4 linked regions of the Saccharomyces cerevisiae S288C genome follow. The gene in region 3 interacts genetically with the main gene of each other region. Each region holds a gene or a part of one and is shown on either strand. Other genes may lie near its edges. The genes, in order: SDD3, RPL40A, PET9 and GIS2.

The links.
Region 1: of PET9 (region 3) and SDD3, extra expression of one rescues a mutant of the other (dosage rescue), as found in Saccharomyces cerevisiae (one study listed by BioGRID).
Region 2: of PET9 (region 3) and RPL40A, extra expression of one rescues a mutant of the other (dosage rescue), as found in Saccharomyces cerevisiae (one study listed by BioGRID).
Region 4: of PET9 (region 3) and GIS2, extra expression of one rescues a mutant of the other (dosage rescue), as found in Saccharomyces cerevisiae (one study listed by BioGRID).

What each region holds. Positions count from the first base shown.
Region 1 is NC_001147.6:131,071-137,852, reverse strand, and holds SDD3 (Sdd3p), read left to right. Parts: upstream 1-2,014; coding exon 2,015-5,128; downstream 5,129-6,782. Other genes in the region: tryptophan--tRNA ligase WRS1, read left to right, coding at 28-1,326; YOL097W-A (uncharacterized protein), read right to left, coding at 1,448-1,633; serine/threonine protein kinase PKH2, read right to left, coding at 5,371-6,782.
Region 2 is NC_001141.2:66,336-70,490, forward strand, and holds RPL40A (ubiquitin-60S ribosomal protein eL40 RPL40A fusion protein), read left to right. Parts: upstream 1-2,372; coding exon 2,373-2,380; intron 2,381-2,814; coding exon 2,815-3,193; downstream 3,194-4,155. Other genes in the region: MLP2 (Mlp2p), read right to left, coding at 1-1,732; SLN1 (histidine kinase), read right to left, coding at 3,456-4,155.
Region 3 is NC_001134.8:162,121-166,823, reverse strand, and holds PET9 (ADP/ATP carrier protein PET9), read left to right. Parts: upstream 1-2,826; coding exon 2,827-3,783; downstream 3,784-4,703. Other genes in the region: YBL029W (uncharacterized protein), read right to left, coding at 1-690; YBL029C-A (uncharacterized protein), read left to right, coding at 2,052-2,336; SHE1 (She1p), read right to left, coding at 4,109-4,703.
Region 4 is NC_001146.8:166,440-170,337, reverse strand, and holds GIS2 (mRNA-binding translational activator GIS2), read left to right. Parts: upstream 1-2,547; coding exon 2,548-3,009; downstream 3,010-3,898. Other genes in the region: TEX1 (Tex1p), read right to left, coding at 1-320; RTC4 (Rtc4p), read left to right, coding at 1,090-2,295; trifunctional dihydropteroate synthetase/dihydrohydroxymethylpterin pyrophosphokinase/dihydroneopterin aldolase FOL1, read right to left, coding at 3,241-3,898. UniProt on the Saccharomyces cerevisiae protein: May act in the sexual differentiation pathway.

The sequences.
Region 1 (6,782 bases), on a different chromosome or scaffold from region 3:
ATAACAAAAAATAGTCGTAGAACAACGATGAGCAACGACGAAACTGTAGAGAAAGTCACCCAACAAGTGTCGGAACTAAAAAGCACAGATGTTAAAGAGCAAGTAGTTACACCTTGGGATGTGGAAGGTGGGGTTGATGAACAAGGTAGAGCCCAAAATATTGATTACGACAAATTGATCAAACAATTCGGTACTAAGCCGGTCAACGAAGAAACCCTGAAGAGATTCAAGCAAGTGACGGGTCGTGAACCACATCATTTTTTGCGTAAGGGATTGTTTTTCAGTGAGCGTGACTTCACTAAAATATTAGACCTTTACGAACAAGGCAAACCATTTTTCCTATACACTGGTAGAGGTCCTTCGAGCGATTCTATGCACTTGGGTCATATGATCCCTTTTGTCTTCACCAAATGGTTACAGGAAGTGTTTGACGTACCATTAGTCATAGAGTTGACAGATGACGAAAAATTTTTATTCAAACACAAGTTGACCATCAATGACGTTAAGAATTTTGCCCGTGAAAATGCCAAGGATATCATTGCTGTTGGCTTTGATCCAAAGAACACCTTTATCTTTTCTGATTTGCAATACATGGGTGGTGCATTTTACGAAACTGTAGTAAGAGTTTCCAGACAAATTACAGGATCCACTGCAAAGGCTGTTTTCGGGTTTAATGACTCCGACTGTATTGGTAAGTTCCATTTTGCCTCCATTCAAATTGCTACCGCATTCCCAAGCTCATTTCCTAATGTGTTAGGCTTGCCTGATAAGACACCATGTTTGATTCCATGTGCAATTGACCAAGATCCATATTTCAGAGTTTGTAGGGATGTCGCGGATAAATTGAAGTACTCCAAACCTGCTTTGCTTCATTCCAGATTCTTTCCAGCTTTGCAAGGTTCCACGACCAAAATGTCAGCCTCTGATGATACCACTGCCATTTTCATGACCGATACACCAAAGCAAATTCAAAAGAAAATTAACAAGTACGCATTCAGCGGTGGTCAAGTGTCCGCCGACCTACATAGAGAATTAGGTGGTAATCCCGATGTCGATGTTGCATACCAATACTTGTCATTTTTCAAGGATGACGATGTTTTCTTGAAGGAATGCTATGACAAATATAAGTCCGGTGAATTACTATCAGGTGAAATGAAGAAACTGTGTATCGAGACTCTGCAAGAATTCGTTAAGGCGTTCCAGGAACGCAGAGCTCAGGTGGACGAAGAGACCTTGGACAAATTCATGGTCCCACATAAGTTGGTTTGGGGCGAAAAGGAAAGACTTGTCGCACCTAAGCCAAAAACTAAGCAAGAAAAGAAGTAAGTAGTCACGCTTATTCTGACGCTATTATATACAATGATATAGAATCCGAAATTGTAGTTTAACACTAAAAAAATAATGCAATAGAACAATAGTGTTGCGATGTCTCCTGACCTCACTATTTCTATAGATTGGTATGAAAAATTTTTTTTTCAAATATATGGGAAAAATTTTTCACGGCATATAAAAGACTACCATCTTTCTGCATCAGTGTGCCAGACCCATTCTCACACCAAGAAGCGAGGAAGCTAACAGGCCAGTACTTGCAGGTTAGGTTTTCGTGCTCAGATGAGCAGATCATGGACTGCATTGTGCTGTTGTTGCACAGTAAATTTTGTATACCATACTTTATGATGATATTCTTTACGAACTTTTAGACGTTAGACTTCTGAAGGAGATTAGACCCTCCTATGGAAGAGAAACTCGTTAAACTTATCTGAGTAGGTATGTGTATATGCGTCTCTTGTATTATACAAATGTTCTTATTTCTTGTCCTGCATTTTTCCGAGTATTGGTAAATTCATGTAAATTTTTCATCCCATAGATCGTAATTTTGAAGTAGTGGCAAAAGATTTTAACAGAGCGTAAGATATAGTGAGAGAAACTACTCGCTGAAAAGTTGAAAGTGACCCAAAAAACGGCACGAAGACCAATTATACGCACTTTCAACACAGTTCGTCGAATCTTCACAATGGGGTTCAAGAAGCTCGTATCATTCCAACCGGATTATGTCCCACAATACCATATAACTAAATATATCTCGGAACGAACTAAACTGCAACTGGTACATATAAACCACAAAACCTCCCCATTGGTTCACGGTTACTTTGCTGTTCCTACAGAATGTCTTAATGATTCAGGTGCTCCGCATACCTTGGAGCATTTGATCTTCATGGGTTCTAAATCTTACCCATACAAAGGTTTATTAGACACAGCTGGTAATCTGTCTTTGTCTAACACCAATGCTTGGACTGATACCGACCAAACTGTTTATACATTAAGCAGTGCTGGCTGGAAGGGATTCTCAAAGTTGCTACCTGCTTATCTAGATCACATCCTACATCCAACTTTAACAGACGAGGCTTGTTTAACTGAGGTTTATCACATCGACCCGGAAAATTTGGGTGATAAAGGTGTGGTATTTAGTGAAATGGAAGCCATTGAAACTCAGGGCTGGTACATTTCAGGGTTAGAAAAGCAGCGATTAATGTTTCCTGAAGGAAGTGGCTATCGGTCAGAAACTGGTGGGCTAACGAAAAATTTAAGAACCTTAACCAACGACGAAATCAGACAATTTCACAAATCTCTGTATTCTTCTGATAATCTTTGTGTCATTGTTTGTGGTAACGTACCAACAGATGAACTGTTAACCGTCATGGAAGAATGGGATAACAAATTGCCGGAGATTCCATCGAATATACCAAAGAAAAGACCATTTTTGGACAACAAGCTTTCGCACATACCGCAATCTAGAGATAAAGTTACGGAATCTACTGTAGAATTTCCTGAACTTGATGAAAGTCAGGGTGAATTACTCTTTTCTTGGATTGGTGTTCCCTACTCAGATTTTCGTAATGACCTAGCGGTTGATGTGCTATTAGATTACTTTACTGACTCTGCATTGGCAGTGTTTACAAGAGAACTGGTTGAAATTGACGATCCCATGGCAAATTCCACTGATTGTTGCACTGATTATTTCATGAGAACCATAATTGATCTTCGTATCCAAGGTGTCCCAACAGAAAAAATAGCAGCAACAAAGACCAAGGTACTGGAGATTTTGAAAACCCATACCATTGATTTATCAAGAGTTAGACAGGTAGTTGAAAATACTAAATGGGAATATTTGCTGAACTATGAAAAAAATGGCGAGAGTCGTTTTTCTAGTGCTGTGATTACCGACTATATTTATGGTAATGAAGATGGTTCTTCATTAGTGTCTTCTCTCAAGGATTTAAGTGATTTTGATGCTTTATTACAATGGTCCCAAAAGGACTGGCAATCTTTGCTGAACAGAATATTCGTAGACAACAAACCTATCATAGTTACCGCTAAACCAAGCGCTTTGATGTATGAACAACTAGAGAAAGAAAAATCGGATTTGATCAAACAAAGAGAAGCTGAATTTGATGATGAAAAGAAACTGGTTTTATTGAAAAGATTGAACAATGCAAAAAATATTAATGATAGGCCAATTCCGAAATCTCTACTACAGAAATTTGAGATTGATAATCCTTCAAAGAGTGTTGAATTTGTCAACACGAAAAGCATTGCAACTGTCGATTCGTATAAATACAATAATGTTAGTGATCCGCTGACCAAAAAAATTTTAGAAACGAGGCCAGACAATTTTCCTCTTTTCATTCACTTAAATCATTTCCCGTCTCAATTTATAGAGCTGCATTTTTTGGTCAACTCCGCATCTATTAAGGATACCTCGCTTTTACCATATTTTAATATGTTTGACGAGCTATTTTCCATGCCAATGAAAATCCTTGATGAGGAGAGTAATGTAGAAACTATGCTCTCGTTTGAGGAAGTTGTCGCCAAGTTAAAATCAGAAACTATTGACGCACAGATCAACCAAGGTTTGAAGGGTTCTTGTCCTGACCTTATTAATTTTAAAATTCAATGTAGAGCTGGGGGTTACTCTAACTCTGTTCAATGGATCAAGCACTGCCTATTTGACATGGTTTTTGATGAAAATCGTGTTCGTATTCTGCTGGAGAATTATTTGAATTCTATTGTAGAATGGAAAAGAAATGGTAATGTTATGTTAAGTTCTTTAACTAACAGAAATCTCTATTCGGCAAGATCGCTGAAAAAATCCACCGATCCATTATTTGTTGAAGCAAAATTACAAGAGATTTTTGCAGAAATTGAGAATGGCAACTTTGAGAAAGAAATTTTGCCAAGAATAGAAACAATGAGAAAGCAACTGAGAGCAAATTTCAACAAGTTTCATATTTTGGTTCTTGGTGACATCTCAAAGATCGATGACGTTTATGAACCATGGAATCCCTTAATTAAGTGCTTGAACATTGCACATCCAGTTGAGAAGTTAAAAATTCCACCAGTTCCAAGAGCCCTAGATACCATTTCATCGATTTGCAGAACACCTGGTGAAAAGGCCTTTATAATAACTACTCCCGCCTCAGAATCTGCTTATATGAATCTAATAACGTCTATCCCATTTAACTTGGACTACCATGATCCCGAATACGCTATTGTCTCATTGGCTTCCGAATATCTAGAATGTGTTGAAGGTCCATTTTGGAAGGGAATCCGTGGTGCCGGATTGGCCTATGGTGCCAGCATGTTAAAATTATGTGAGATAAATTCTTGGGGATTCAATATTTACCGCGGCGCTGATATTATTAAATGTTATGAAGTTGGAAAACAGATTGTTCAAGATTATGCATCAGGTGCCTTGGAATTTGATGAGCAGTTAATCCAAGGTGCCATCAGTAGTATTATTAACAGGCTGGCTACTATCGAATGCGGATACTTTGAAACAGCCCTGTCCAAATATGTTGATGAATTCTGTTTGCAAAGGGGGAACAACTTCAATGAATTGTATTTGGAAAGGTTGCAGAATGTTACCAAAACAGATCTGAAAAATGCCATGCAGAAATATTTTGTCAACATGTTTGATTCCAATAAAAGCGTTGCCTTTGTGAGCTGTCATCCAGCTAAATTGGAATCAGTTCAAGAATTCTTTGAAACTCAAGGTTTCACTGTCGAAATAGAAGAGCTAGAAGATGACGATGACGAAATTGATAGTGAAGAAGACGAAAATGCGTGAGTACATGACCTCCATTTCAGCTTCACTTTCAACACAGAAACAGTGCGTATTATCTGCATTCAATAAATAGCAAAAGGAGCATTGTCTCATTCTTTTCGAATTCTGGGATTCTGCCTTACGGCGCTCTTTCATTTGATTGATCGAGAATTATTATTATATTTATATGAGTACTTGAAATTCCTCATATATTTATTTTTAGAGTATTTAAGTAGCTTGATGAAAACATTAGATAAAATTACTAATTACGACCTCTTCGATTTTGCAGATGAGTTTTTGAAATTTGTTCCTGTGTTTAGACCTAATCCCACGGTAACTTGTCTTTTTGGCAATCCGTTAACTAATTTACTGGTTAACGGTACTGGAGCAGCGTGTTTTTTTGAATTTTGTTCCTTGGCATTGATAAAGGTTTCAAAAATTCTGCTTGATCTGTTGCTCTTAGCGCTATTAATCGATTCAGAAAACGAATTGTGCTTTGAAATTGATGGAGATTGGCTATGCGTCCTGGGTTTTGGCGAAGGAGACTTGGAAGTTGGAAGATCTTTAGGTATGGCTCTTCCGGATGATGATGTTCTTCTTTCAATTACCTTTTGGTTTCTTTGCAACAGTTCTTTCTCTATTTTATTTGTATTCGAATTAAGAATTTTTTTGAGAACAGTAAACAATTTGCTCGTGGTTTTTTTATCAGTGCTCAAAAGAAATGACTTGTAAGGTGTCTGAATCACAACTATATGATTAGTTCCCATTTCCAAGGGAATGATTAGTTCTTTTATTTTGGTACCCTGTTGACGCAAATTTATGTCATATTCTAGTTCATACTTTAAATTTGTAACTGGATTTGGCTGCCTCCTCTTGGCAAATACTAGAAACCTTCCAAATGATGTCATTACAATGGTTCGTTTATAGTACTTGGTTTTTTCATCAGAGGAAGAGAGCGTTTCAGCTGCTGAGGTAGGGTGAAATAATTTTTTAATCTTGCCAGAAAAAACAGAGCTTCCTTTATTGTTAGATTCGGATTTATCATCGTCTTTCATTGGTGAGCTGTTTTGATTGCATTTGTACCCTTCTCCGCTTCTGTTAGTAAGCAACTCCGATAAGTCACCTCCTTCAATTCGATAATCATCTTCCAAGAGCTGCAAATCGATAATATTTTTCGAATAGTACGTATCTTCTGTTTTGGAATAAGCAGTCATAGTTGGATCATTTCGAAAACCTGTAACCTCTCCCCCACTCCTAGCTACTTGGGATAAAAAAGTATGTCTAGGCTTACCAAACAGTTGAGGATCTAACAATGAACCATTTAGTTTAAGCATTTTCTTCTCTAAGATATCGTAATTTGTGGTAACAAAATCCAGTTTTTCCGTCCTTAGTACATGTTCGTTGATGTTTTTCAGGTAAAAGGACCATTGAATATCTTGCTTGTTCATCAAGGGAGAATCTGTGCTATTTTTAACATTTTGCTTACTAATACAAGGCTTAGGTGCGGCAATTGCGGTATCAGAATAATCCTGCTGTTTTGTCGTATAGGGAGGTGTCATTTGATATGTATCATATGGTGTCATAGGGGGCGACATTGGAGGTGTGTATGGAGGCATTGGGACTTTTGACGATAAAACTGATGCTGACAAAGGTGGAGATTTGGCAAATGGTTTACTTT
Region 2 (4,155 bases), on a different chromosome or scaffold from region 3:
TTTCCATCTTCGCATTGATGTTCTCCAGTTCAATTATTGCATCTTTTGCTTCTTTAATGGTCTGGTTTTCTACCTTTTGTAAGGTCTTGTCTTGTTTTCCTTCATAATTTTCTAATTTATCAGCCAAAATCCGAATGCAATTCAAGAGTTCAACATTTTTTTCTTGTAGCTCATTCACATTACTGAATTCAACCAGTCTTTCCGTAATGATGGCTTGGGAATCATTTTCATTTACGATATTGCTCGACTCCAGTATTTTTCTTAATGATATCAGTTCATCTTGCGATAACGGCGATGCCGTTTCCTGTATCGCAGATGTATTTAAAAGAAGTAGTTTAACTTGACGGGCCAAATCCAAACGTTGTTTCACCAGAGAATGAATATTTGCTTCACAGCCATTTATCTTCTGTCTCAGTGAAGTTATTTCTCTTTCTTGCTTACGCTTAGTCAAAGAAACAGTTTCTAGTAGTTCTGTGGAACGTTTTAGTTCATGTTCCAATGATTTTGTTCTTTCCTTAAAAGAGATCAGTTCAGGGGTTTTATGCTCTAATTCTAGTATAAAATCCTCCAGTTGATTCTGTAATTGAAATTTCTGATTCCTTTCCTTTATCAATTGTCTTTTCAGCACTTTGATATCAGAAAATAGTTTACCTACTGTGGGAGAAACTGCACTCGTAGTCATTGTAGCTTCTTCTTCCTTGGTACAATCCATAACTATATTCTGTAACCTTTGACACTCATTTTTTGATTTTTCGAGTCTTAATTTTGTGTCTATAAGTTCGTCTATCACATCAGTATGTTCAGGGTTCCTGCAGGAATTATCATCATTTTTCTCTATTGCTCTCAAGGAACAATCTTTTTCCAATGATGTTAGTTGTGAGCGTAGCAAATCGTTCATATTTTTTTGTAAAGTCATTTCTTTGGAGAATTCTGCTTTTTCCACACTTGCGGTATCTTTCAAATTTTTCATTTCCAGTACTTTCTCTTCCACCGACTGGGATAATTGTTTATTTTGATTTAGTAAAAACTTATTGTACGTAAAGACAGATTCATAGTTGGATTGCATTTGGTATAGTTTTTCTTCGAGGTTCTCTACGTGCGATGATTTTGTGACTTCTTCTGTTAGCGTTTTTTTGCTAAAAGATGATAATTTTTCTTCAATTAATTTTTTACTTTGTAACATTAATTCTTTTTCCTGTACTGAGGTATCGTACTTTAACTGTAATGATATAGCATTGGACTTGCACCTTTGTAGTATATTTTCCATTTCCATCAGCTTTCTTCGAAGAAGCTTATTTTCTTTGTTCAAATCATCATTTAAAGAATCATTCCCCTGATCTCTACTCTGCCAAATGTCATATTCTTCTTTAACTCGTTTTTCGTCATTTACTTCTCTCATAGCTTCATGGCTCACATGCAATTGTTTTTTTAGTGCATCTATTTCCCGCCTATATCTGGAACGTTCTTCATTCAGCTGATCTTTCAAGCCATTCAATTCTTCTTTAGCTGTGTTCTTCTGCTCAGAAGATTCATCTAGTAGCTGCTTAAGTTTTGAAATCCTTGAATAGTACTGCGATTTGATCTCATCGACCAAAACATTGAGTTTTGTCACTTCCTCTTCAGAACGTTCAAACTTGGCTATTTTCTTGTATAACTTTCTTAAGACAGGATAGGTAACACCTTGAAGTGATTCGAATGGAACATTTAAAAACTCAGATATTTTGTCCTCCATTGCCGGTTTGCTTCCGCCCAGTGTTCTTTCGCCTTAAATTTCTTTTGGTAAACTTCCACTAGAAAAAGAAAAGCCACCAGAGAAATAAGCGCTTGCAATTTAACGCCGATATTGTTTTCTTCTTCTATTATCTTCAATTATCGATCAACTCTATCCAACAATTCTATAATATCCACTGTTCATTAACGAATATTGGTCTTTTTCCCTTATGGTGAAGTAAATTTTCCATGCAATATCCGGGTAAGCTATCGACAAGTTTATTGACTGCAATTTGAGTTTATTACATCCGTACATTACTAAGATGTATGGTTTTTCTATTTTTGTGCTCCGTGTCGATATTTCGTGGAGCAAACCAGAAAAGATGCGGAACCTCTTAGCACTCCGCCTGGACATAGGCGGAGCATATTCCTCCTATGGGATGGGTTTTGTTGTACTCTTTTCTCTCTAGACAGGACCTCCGATTGCCTCCCTGAGGGTGAGATGGTTTCCGGCCTCAGGACGGCCTTCTCCAGTTTCTAGCGAGGCATACATTCCAACCAAAGGTGTATCAAGAATATCTGAAATTAAAGGTAGTTGAATCTCTATTTGTTGTTGTTATTACCGCTTATTATCCCATAGTTGAGACGACCAAGATTCAAACATGCAAATGTATGCACCATATCCATTCTAAACATAGTTTTTCGAACGTTCAGAGCTTAAAGGGACAATTATTTTAGAAACTGAATTTTTACCCAGTGGAATAACATCGTATCTGTAAAGTCTACAAAATTTTTTATCCATCAAAAATTAAAACAAAGAAAACTGCCAAACTGAATATGAGGAACTTTCCTCTCTAGGAATGACTTAGTGAATGTACAGTGACTTGTGGAAAATATGATTAGATTTTGAGCGGGTGATGCGACTTAACAGTCTCATTGCCTAAGAAATATCCAAATTTGTGGTTCATGCTCTCCCCCAAGATATGACGATGAGAGCTCGTTTAAAATTTTGTCTTCTTCCGAACAGTTATGAAAAAACTATTACGTGTTTTTATGATATCCTTACTAACTTGTCATTTTTTTATAAAATTATTTTTTTAACAGTTTTGTCAAGACTTTGACTGGTAAGACCATCACTTTGGAAGTTGAATCTTCTGACACTATTGACAATGTCAAGTCAAAGATTCAAGACAAGGAAGGTATCCCACCTGACCAACAAAGATTGATCTTTGCTGGTAAGCAATTGGAAGACGGTAGAACCTTGTCTGACTACAACATTCAAAAAGAATCCACTTTGCACTTAGTCTTGAGATTGAGAGGTGGTATCATTGAACCATCTTTGAAAGCTTTGGCTTCCAAGTACAACTGTGACAAATCTGTTTGCCGTAAGTGTTATGCTAGATTGCCACCAAGAGCTACCAACTGTAGAAAGAGAAAGTGTGGTCACACCAACCAATTGCGTCCAAAGAAGAAGTTAAAATGATCTGTTTCGCCCAATCAATCTATACATTTATTTACTGTATACTTTAATGTACATCTTCTTTTATCATACCTACTGTTAAAATCATAATATTAATTCATACAATATACTTAAGAAAACAATATACTTTTCTTAGTTTCATAACTTTGGAATCTATAATGTTGTTTTTTTTTTTTTAAGTATATTTGTATATTATGCATATAAGTCAACGCGTAGCGGTGGTATTACGCGCAAGCTTTTGATTTCTCTTACTATTCTTGGTTGTTCATTTGTTATTTTTCTTTCCCTGATATGCTGCACAAAACTCAGTAAGAATAGTTTTCAATTTTGGTCTTTTGATTGGTTTCGATAAAAATCCGTTCATTCCTGATTCCAAACATTCTTTAATGTTGCTATCGTCAGCAAAAGCGGTTAGAGCGACAATAGGTGAGGTATAACCTAAATCGCGCCTTATCATCTTGGTAGAAAGTAAACCATCCACTTTAGGCATCTGGACATCCATGAAAATCATATTATAATTTTCGCCCTTAGATGTCAATTCTTTAACTTTGTCGAATGCTTCTTGGCCATCGCAAGCCAGTTCAATATTTTCAATGCCCTCCAAGTTCAACATTCTTTTGATAACTTCCTGATTTACATGATTATCTTCTACAACCAAAATTTTGACACTTGTTTCATTTTTATCGTCGTCTTTGACTGTGGGGATGTTTCTACTTGATGTGGCTGTACCAGTACTTTGCAAAAATGGTCTATCAAGATTGACAGAACCTAGACCTTCATGTCGAGAACGATGCTTAGAAGACAAGGAATTTTGTTCGTTAACTTCAGCACCTGTAAGACATATAGAAGGTTTAATATTTTTTTCCTGCAGTTGTTCAAGCCCTCCATTGTCGTTTTTTTCTTCTCTTCCCATGTTAGGATTTCCAACATCTTTCGTCTCATGCTTACCTTTACTTCTTACCTCC
Region 3 (4,703 bases):
AAAAGACGAAGGGGCAGGATCCTGCTCGATGGCGTTTATCGTGAAATCGGGATAGTTTAATTGATTATTTAGATTTTCTAGCGTCAGTTCTTGCGTTAGGGGCATAGTATCCTTTTCAAACGAATTAGGATCGGCAAATATGTCACTGCTTTCGCTGGTATTAGAAATTATTGCTTCCCCATGTTTCAAAGAGGACGACGATGGTGGTGGCGGAGAAGGCGAATTCGATAGGGATAACGAAAACTTTGCAGGTGGCAGACTCGAAACTAATGACGAAGGCGTTGATATATCCTTTCTGTAAATGTCTTTACAATTTACGGCAAATTGCGGTTCGTTGAGAGTAGAAGGGTAATCGAGTAAAAAGGCCATCTGACTGATGTCATTACCGAGTAGATTATTATTATTATGATTATTATTATTATTTTTATTATTATTACTATTATTATTACTATTACTATTATTAATGCTATTGTTTTTAGCAGTTGTAGTAGCCAGCTTATCGTTATAAGACAGTAAAAAGTTGGAGTACGTTAAATTTTCGTCACCATAAGCATTAACGTTGATGTCATTGTTATTAATGGGGAGAAAGGGCGAATTAACATCACAATTTAAAGGTGCGAATGATTCCAAGTTGTAATTTATATTTTCATTTTCGTAAAAAGAGTCGAATTCGGGGATATTGGCGCACATTAGCTTTATTTTGGTTTTATAATCTCTATATATTACGACTAAGCTTTTGCCTAATACAAGATTAACACGCAAGTATAAAAGGAGATAACAGTGCAAATTCAAAAAAAAGAGTACAGATTAGAACTGGAAACCAACAGTCGCATATATATAATTTGCTTAATTCCTTTTAAACAATTGAACTTTTTCTCGAAAACACAACAAAGAGAGAAAAAAAAAAAAAAAAAAAAAAAAGAGAAAAACATGATAAAAATTGCATATATGTGGGTAGAAACCTTAAAAGTTATAATAAAGGGAATCCCACGCAGGAGCGGCATGGGAAGATAATATAATGAAACGAGCAAAAAATGGAGTCAACGTATGGCGTATTAAGATTGTGTTTATTTTTATGCAGGAAGGGGAATCGCACAGATAGTCAATAACCAACTGGCCGACTAACTGCATAAGAAATCGTTGTTTTTTTTTTCGAAGGCTCATTCAGATAAAGAAATCACTACGCGTTTTGTCTGTGAAGTCACAGATTTGAAAAATGAGAACGAAAAACATAACCACCTATGAGATTGAGTCCCTACATTTTACCATTTACGCTACTAAGTTACCCAATATCGTAACACGAAATAACAAGTTAAGGGGAGGAATGAAAAGGTTATCAAAGCGGCAGGAGACAGGAGGAATAACGCAGGACGAGACCCAAAGATAATATTTCTATAACGAAGTCGTTCGAACCCATCAGATTTCTGCTTTGATTACATACACAAGCTTTGTTTCTTTCTACAGGTGATTGTATGTGGGCTTATGGTATGCCTGCAGGACGCGTATGCATGTACGACGGCACGACCCGGAGCAAAACGGCGAGTGCTCTAACGCGGTGTATGGGCTAGATTCGTAATAGGGCTCTGGGTTTGCTGCAAGGGGTAATTATCAGCGATGGAATGACTCCGTTACCGCCCGACGCTATGTACGCCTTTTCCGCGTGCGCCGGTCTTTACCGGCAGGGGAGAATGTGGTGACGGCGGAGCCGGCGTATGGTGCCTCTACAAAAAATACGAAGTCTCATTTTAGTCACACTGATTTTCATAAGAAATGAGGAAAAAGAAAAGAGATGAAAATTGAGAAAAAAAAAAAAGCATTGTCGGGTAACAAATTATGTAGTGAAGATCAAAGGATATACACACAAACGAAGATGCGCATTAGCCACGTCCATCCCTTTCCCTTTTTCCCTTTCTACTCCGTTTTTACAATAATGTACGTTATAAAACAAGCGGCTGAAGAACAAGTTGGGAATAAATGTCAGCAAGGAAGATTGGTGTAAAGTGAAATCAGATAAGCAACTTAATACACAACCTCAAAAAGAAAAAATTACCATGTCATTCATACCTATTGTATGTGGTATGAAGAGTTTCGACTCTTCATACGATACCGTTCCCGGACATCAAAACCTGTATTGCCCGAATTGTCACAATTATAGTGTCGGCCCCATAAAAAGAAAGGAATTTTTCACTATTTGGTTTATACCGTTGGTTCCGGTCTTCTGGGGAAAACAGTTGCACTGCCCCATATGCAATTGGCGACAAGATTTTAAGAATGACGAACAGCTTAATAAAGTCATTCAAGAACAACAAAACTTACGACAAAAGCAGCCCAACTGATAACGAAATAATTTCCTTTTCTTCCTCTTATATATGTATTTATATATATGTGTTCACTATAACCATACATATATTATACAGAAGTATAGACACGATTTTTCCATACGTAACAAATAACATCACGATGCACGAGCACTGTTTCCAATGGAGAACAAGCGAAAGGCGGTAAATGCGCTATGCTGATTGGTGTAGAGCGCGGGCCAATGAGAAGGCCCCACTCTCAGAGGGTGAGGTGCGATTATCGGGGACATGTCTCCGTCGATCGGGCCCACGTCGTCGCACAATATAAATACCATTTGAGTTTTTAATATTAATTTTTCACGACAACCCACTCAAAAAAGTATATATTCACTGTTAGTTATACGGAACATTGCAATACATCTACAAGTCAAAGGAGCCCCTCTATATTATTTATATTTGTCGTTGTTCTTTTTTGTGTGCTCTTTTATACTTCAGAATCATACATTAACATACATATAAGCAAATAGCCATGTCTTCCAACGCCCAAGTCAAAACCCCATTACCTCCAGCCCCAGCTCCAAAGAAGGAATCTAACTTTTTGATTGATTTCTTAATGGGTGGTGTCAGTGCCGCTGTCGCCAAAACTGCTGCATCTCCCATCGAAAGAGTTAAACTTTTGATCCAAAACCAAGATGAAATGTTAAAACAAGGTACTTTGGACAGAAAATACGCAGGTATCTTAGACTGTTTCAAGAGAACCGCTACACAGGAAGGTGTTATCTCATTCTGGAGAGGTAACACTGCTAACGTTATCCGTTATTTCCCCACTCAAGCTTTGAATTTCGCCTTCAAGGACAAGATCAAGGCCATGTTTGGTTTCAAGAAGGAAGAAGGTTACGCCAAATGGTTTGCCGGTAACTTGGCATCTGGTGGTGCTGCTGGTGCCTTGTCATTACTATTTGTTTACTCTTTGGATTATGCAAGAACTAGATTGGCTGCTGACTCCAAGTCCTCTAAAAAGGGTGGTGCTCGTCAATTCAACGGTTTGATCGATGTCTACAAGAAGACCTTAAAATCTGATGGTGTTGCTGGTCTTTACAGAGGTTTCTTACCTTCTGTCGTTGGTATTGTTGTCTACAGAGGTCTATACTTCGGTATGTACGATTCTTTGAAGCCTCTATTGTTGACTGGTTCTTTGGAAGGTTCATTCTTGGCTTCATTCTTGTTGGGTTGGGTTGTTACTACTGGTGCTTCTACATGTTCTTACCCATTGGATACCGTTAGAAGAAGAATGATGATGACCTCCGGTCAAGCTGTTAAGTACGACGGTGCCTTTGACTGTTTGAGGAAGATTGTTGCTGCTGAAGGTGTTGGTTCTCTATTCAAGGGTTGTGGTGCTAACATCTTAAGAGGTGTCGCAGGTGCTGGTGTTATCTCAATGTACGACCAACTGCAAATGATCTTGTTTGGTAAGAAGTTCAAATAAGTCTAATCTGGCTTGATTCTTAATCTAAATTCTTTCTCACATTTTCCTTTTTTTCTTCTTTGGATTTTTGGTGTTTAATGAGTGACACGATTTGTTTTGATAATATTATTATCCTCCTATTTTTTTAGAAATTCTTTTCAACAAGAATCAAAGATTCATAAAAAAAGAAAACGATGAAATTTTTTGAACAACTTTTACGTATAAAGAAGAAAAAAAAAAAATTCTAAATATCCAGTAAATAGTTTTATATTAGTAGTATTCTTTCCCACTTTTTAAATGTCATCACATGATGTTTCTTATAAAATGCAATTTTTTTATTACTTAATCACCGCCAAATAGGTCTATCACTCTTTGTGCCGGTGGCAGTACTTTGCTTAAGGTTACTGGACAATGAACCACTTGTCTTACTTTTAACCAACCGAGTCTTTACATTTGTGTGTTCCTTGGATTTTGCAGAGGTTCCTGACGATAAGTTGTTCATAGACGTCGACCTAGAGAACGTTGTTTGCTTGTAAAGTCTATCAAAAACGGAAACTGAATTCTTCAATTGCGAATTTGTTCCTTGCGCAACTGGCGTGCGTTCTACCGGTTTGGTTTTGGCGTGTAAATCTCTTATTGATATCGATCTGTGTACTTTAGATCTTGGTATCGATGAAGCTGTCGAAGAGGAGGATGTATTACGGTGAGCGGAATTGATCTTGTTCAAAGAATTCGTAGTGGGCATTAGAAAGTTTGGTTTGTGCATAAATGGCTTGGGCTTTGACAATGGTGTGTTCTTTATTGAATTAATGTTAGAATTTGCTTGCATAGATCTCGCTCTAGCCACTATGTCATTACCATTAACCAATGAGTTCCGTAATTTCAATCTTCGTATTCTTCTTGTGATATCGTTTACCACTGGTGTAGTGTATGGAATTGAG
Region 4 (3,898 bases), on a different chromosome or scaffold from region 3:
TCTGGAATATAAACTTCTACAGATTTGTCAAAACTTGCATCTTTAATAAACCAAACGGTCAATGACCCATCCATTCTACTATACGCCATCGATGAACCTGATACGTGAAATTTTAGGGAAAGAATTTCATTTGGAGTTATGGGAGTCGAGGTGAATCTTGAATGAGAACGCGAACTGACATGAATGAACCTTTTATCTTCGATATGACTTGTATTACCTTTAGAAAACGTACTTTGTAGATATTTTGAAGTCACTGAGGCAGCCACTTCAGAAGTTATGGTCTTTTGATTAAGAATATCAACAGCTCCAATTGTCGACATGCCGAATAGTTCACTTGATCCTTTTTATGTATGTAGCTGTACACCAATCAAACCTCAATGAGTGAAGCTTTGTACGTAGAAATACTGAAGAGATATATATTTAACATAATATCTTATGTACGTAACCTGTGGTGCAAGGCTTTTAATTTTCTTAATTCTACTATGAATAATGATAAGTTAGGCAAGACACCTATACATGGTTAGTGGCGTCGTTGGGGTGTAAAAATGAATTGTCCATGCTCGGTTACTGTTTTATACAACGGTACAATAATTTAACGTTTTGTTTCTTCCGTCATCATATCCAGTGGGAAAGGTGTATTTCTAGAAAATAATGTTAACCTTCAAGGTTATGCTTTGCGATATTTGACACTTTCCAAAGAAACATGGGCACTGTTAATATACCTTCAAGTCTACATACATATATATAAACTGCATTTGGCTATCTATCGAACGTAAGCAGGAAAAAAATGGCAATTCGATTGAAAATCCAAAACCCTTTATGATACTGAAGACAACTCCAGTAATTGAATAGGTATGGAATAGTAATTCTCTGAAAACTCCCTTGAAAATTGGGAGGCAATGATACTCCTATTTGTGCTGCATCTCAATTGTTGTGGTAAATAGCGTCCTAAACTTTTTTTTTTTCCTATATATAGATGGCGTCGCTAAAATGGGAAGCTTTGAAAAATGTAGCGATGAGATCACATTAAAAGGGTACTGTATGTGCTCTCGAGACCTTAGCACAAATTTTTGACCTGCGTAGACAGAGATGGTTGGGCCTGGTCTGGGAATTAATCGAGTGAGGAGAAAAGGTGTTTATTCCACAAAAAAGGGAAGTGGTGATAACTTACTGTTAATGAAAAGACAAGGAAAACATGACATACATGATAGAGAAAGTGACGACTTATCAGGCCATGATGCCTTTTCCCCCTCAAAAAAGCGCGGCAAAATAGACAGTATCACAGAAGATGAGATTGAAGTAAAAAAGCTTTCCACTGTGGCCACATTTGATAAACTTTCGAGGTCATTTCCAAATTCAGAAGTACAAGCCGCAAAGAATGCAGCACTCAGAGGAAAAGAAAAAGAAGAAGAGAAGGTCGTTTCTATCCCACTAATACAGAATTTGAAAAATGAAGATATCGAGTCTATCAAATGCAGGAACAATAATCTTTTAGACGGTAAAAAATTACTCTTGGAGGCAGAACTATCGGCAGTTGAAGATAACCAAATCTTCTCCTCTTCATTTCCCGAGGATAAAAAGCTATCGTTACAAAGTTGTTTGAGTTCTAAAGAGCAGATAATCAAAAAACTTCAAGTAAGGGAAGAATACATGAGCAAGTTCAAACTACCACCCATGTTGTTTTCGGATGAGCTACTCACTGAAGTAGAACCCTTCATGCCCATTGTAATGGACATATTGGAGGGAAAGATATCGTCTGTATACTATTTTGAAGCAAAAAATGCATTCAAAAACTCACAAAAGGCTTACTTGTCCGTAGATGAGTTTAGAAAGTTGAATTTAAACAAATTTACTGCTGGATTTTACGGCCTGAAAAGGCAATTGAGGGTTGGCGAAGAAATCGCTAAGAGATATAAAAGGGCACTCACGCACAATCAGCCCGCAACCTTAAAATGGTGGGGGATAACAGATTTCTGTAACTACGTTTTGGCTCCAGAAACCCTTACGTCTTTTTGTATTTACCAATTAAATCTCTCGAATAAATCTTGCTCGTCGAAGACACCGAATAAACATCCAAAGCAACAATTAAACGAGAAGGAATATTACTACGATCCCGAATTAAGGATGCTAGCCTATGACTTACTCGAGGATACAGTTGAATACGGTATCATAGTAGCCGACTCTGATCCAATTGAGCAATGGGAAGCTGCCATAGAGGAAGACCGTCTGCGGGAACTGAAACTCGATGTTCATAACTATTCCAGCAGGAGATGGCGACTGGATACGCACGATTAAACAGGTAGTATATTGCCGTTTGTTGCCTTTATGGCTTAGGGATTTGAGCTTTATAGTAAGAACTGCTGTGGTGTCATGATAGACGAAATGCTGAAAAAATTTTCTTTTCGTTCCTTTTCTCTTTTGGCAAGAGTTGTAATAAGGTCATCGATGGATTAGAAATGCTCTTTCTGCTTTGGGGGCACTTGAGGATTGTATTATTTTAAGGCTTTCCCTTCAGAAATCAGGAAAAAAGAAAAGAATACGAAAAAGATGTCTCAAAAAGCTTGTTACGTTTGCGGTAAGATTGGCCATTTGGCAGAAGACTGTGATTCTGAAAGACTATGTTACAACTGTAACAAACCCGGTCACGTTCAAACGGATTGTACCATGCCAAGAACAGTTGAATTCAAGCAATGTTACAATTGTGGTGAAACCGGTCACGTTAGAAGTGAATGTACTGTGCAACGTTGTTTCAACTGTAACCAAACCGGCCACATCTCCAGAGAATGCCCTGAACCAAAGAAGACCAGCAGATTCTCCAAAGTTTCATGTTATAAATGTGGTGGTCCAAACCATATGGCTAAGGACTGTATGAAAGAGGACGGAATTAGTGGATTGAAATGTTACACTTGTGGTCAAGCTGGCCACATGTCCAGGGACTGTCAAAATGACAGGCTTTGTTACAACTGTAACGAAACTGGCCATATTTCCAAGGATTGTCCAAAGGCTTAGGTGAAACATCCACTGAAAAAAACAAAGGAACAATCACTTATCATGCTATATTTCATAGAGGGGAAAAAAGAAGCACAAGTAAACTGAATATTTAAGTTTATTTTCTATATCTTTTCTATACTTCATTTCACTTGTTTCCTCCCTTGGTTATTTTTAACGATTCTTTATTATGAAACAGGAAAAAAAATTATTACAAAACAGAATTACATATTTAATCTATATAACTAACCTTTATTCCAAACCTTTATAAATAGCATCTGCTAATTTAATGCTCTTCGAACAATTTTTAACGTCATGGACCCTAACCATGTCGCTGCCGAAACCAATACACGACGCTACCACCGCTCCAGTAGCAAAGTCTCTTTGCTTCGCATCCACATCTTTTGTGATATGTCCAATGAATTTTTTGCGCGATGGACCCAATAAAACGGGCATATTTCTGAGGTTAACATACACTTGCGAATTGTTTGAGTTCATGGTGAATGAGTAGTTCTTTAAAATGGGGATATGTCTAATAATTTGTAAGTTTTGCTTCCAGGTCTTAGCAAAACCAAGTCCAGGGTCGATTAGAATTTGCCAGCGCTTTACTCCATTATCAATCGCTTTGATATACCTTTCGCCAATTTCTTGACCAACATTCCTGATTAACACTGTTTTGTCTTTCAAGTCGTCTAGCTGCTGAATGTCGGTATTATGAACAAATTCTTGCTGAATAGAATCACCCAATGCAAAATTTTCGTAATGCGCCAGCCTATTCATCGTTGAAATATCACCACGTGTGTGTGATAAAATATAACAAATTTCTGGGTTCTCTGCAATTACGGCAAACATGTTGCTGTCAAATAAACCTCCCGAAATATCATTAATAATATCCACTCCAACTTTAATC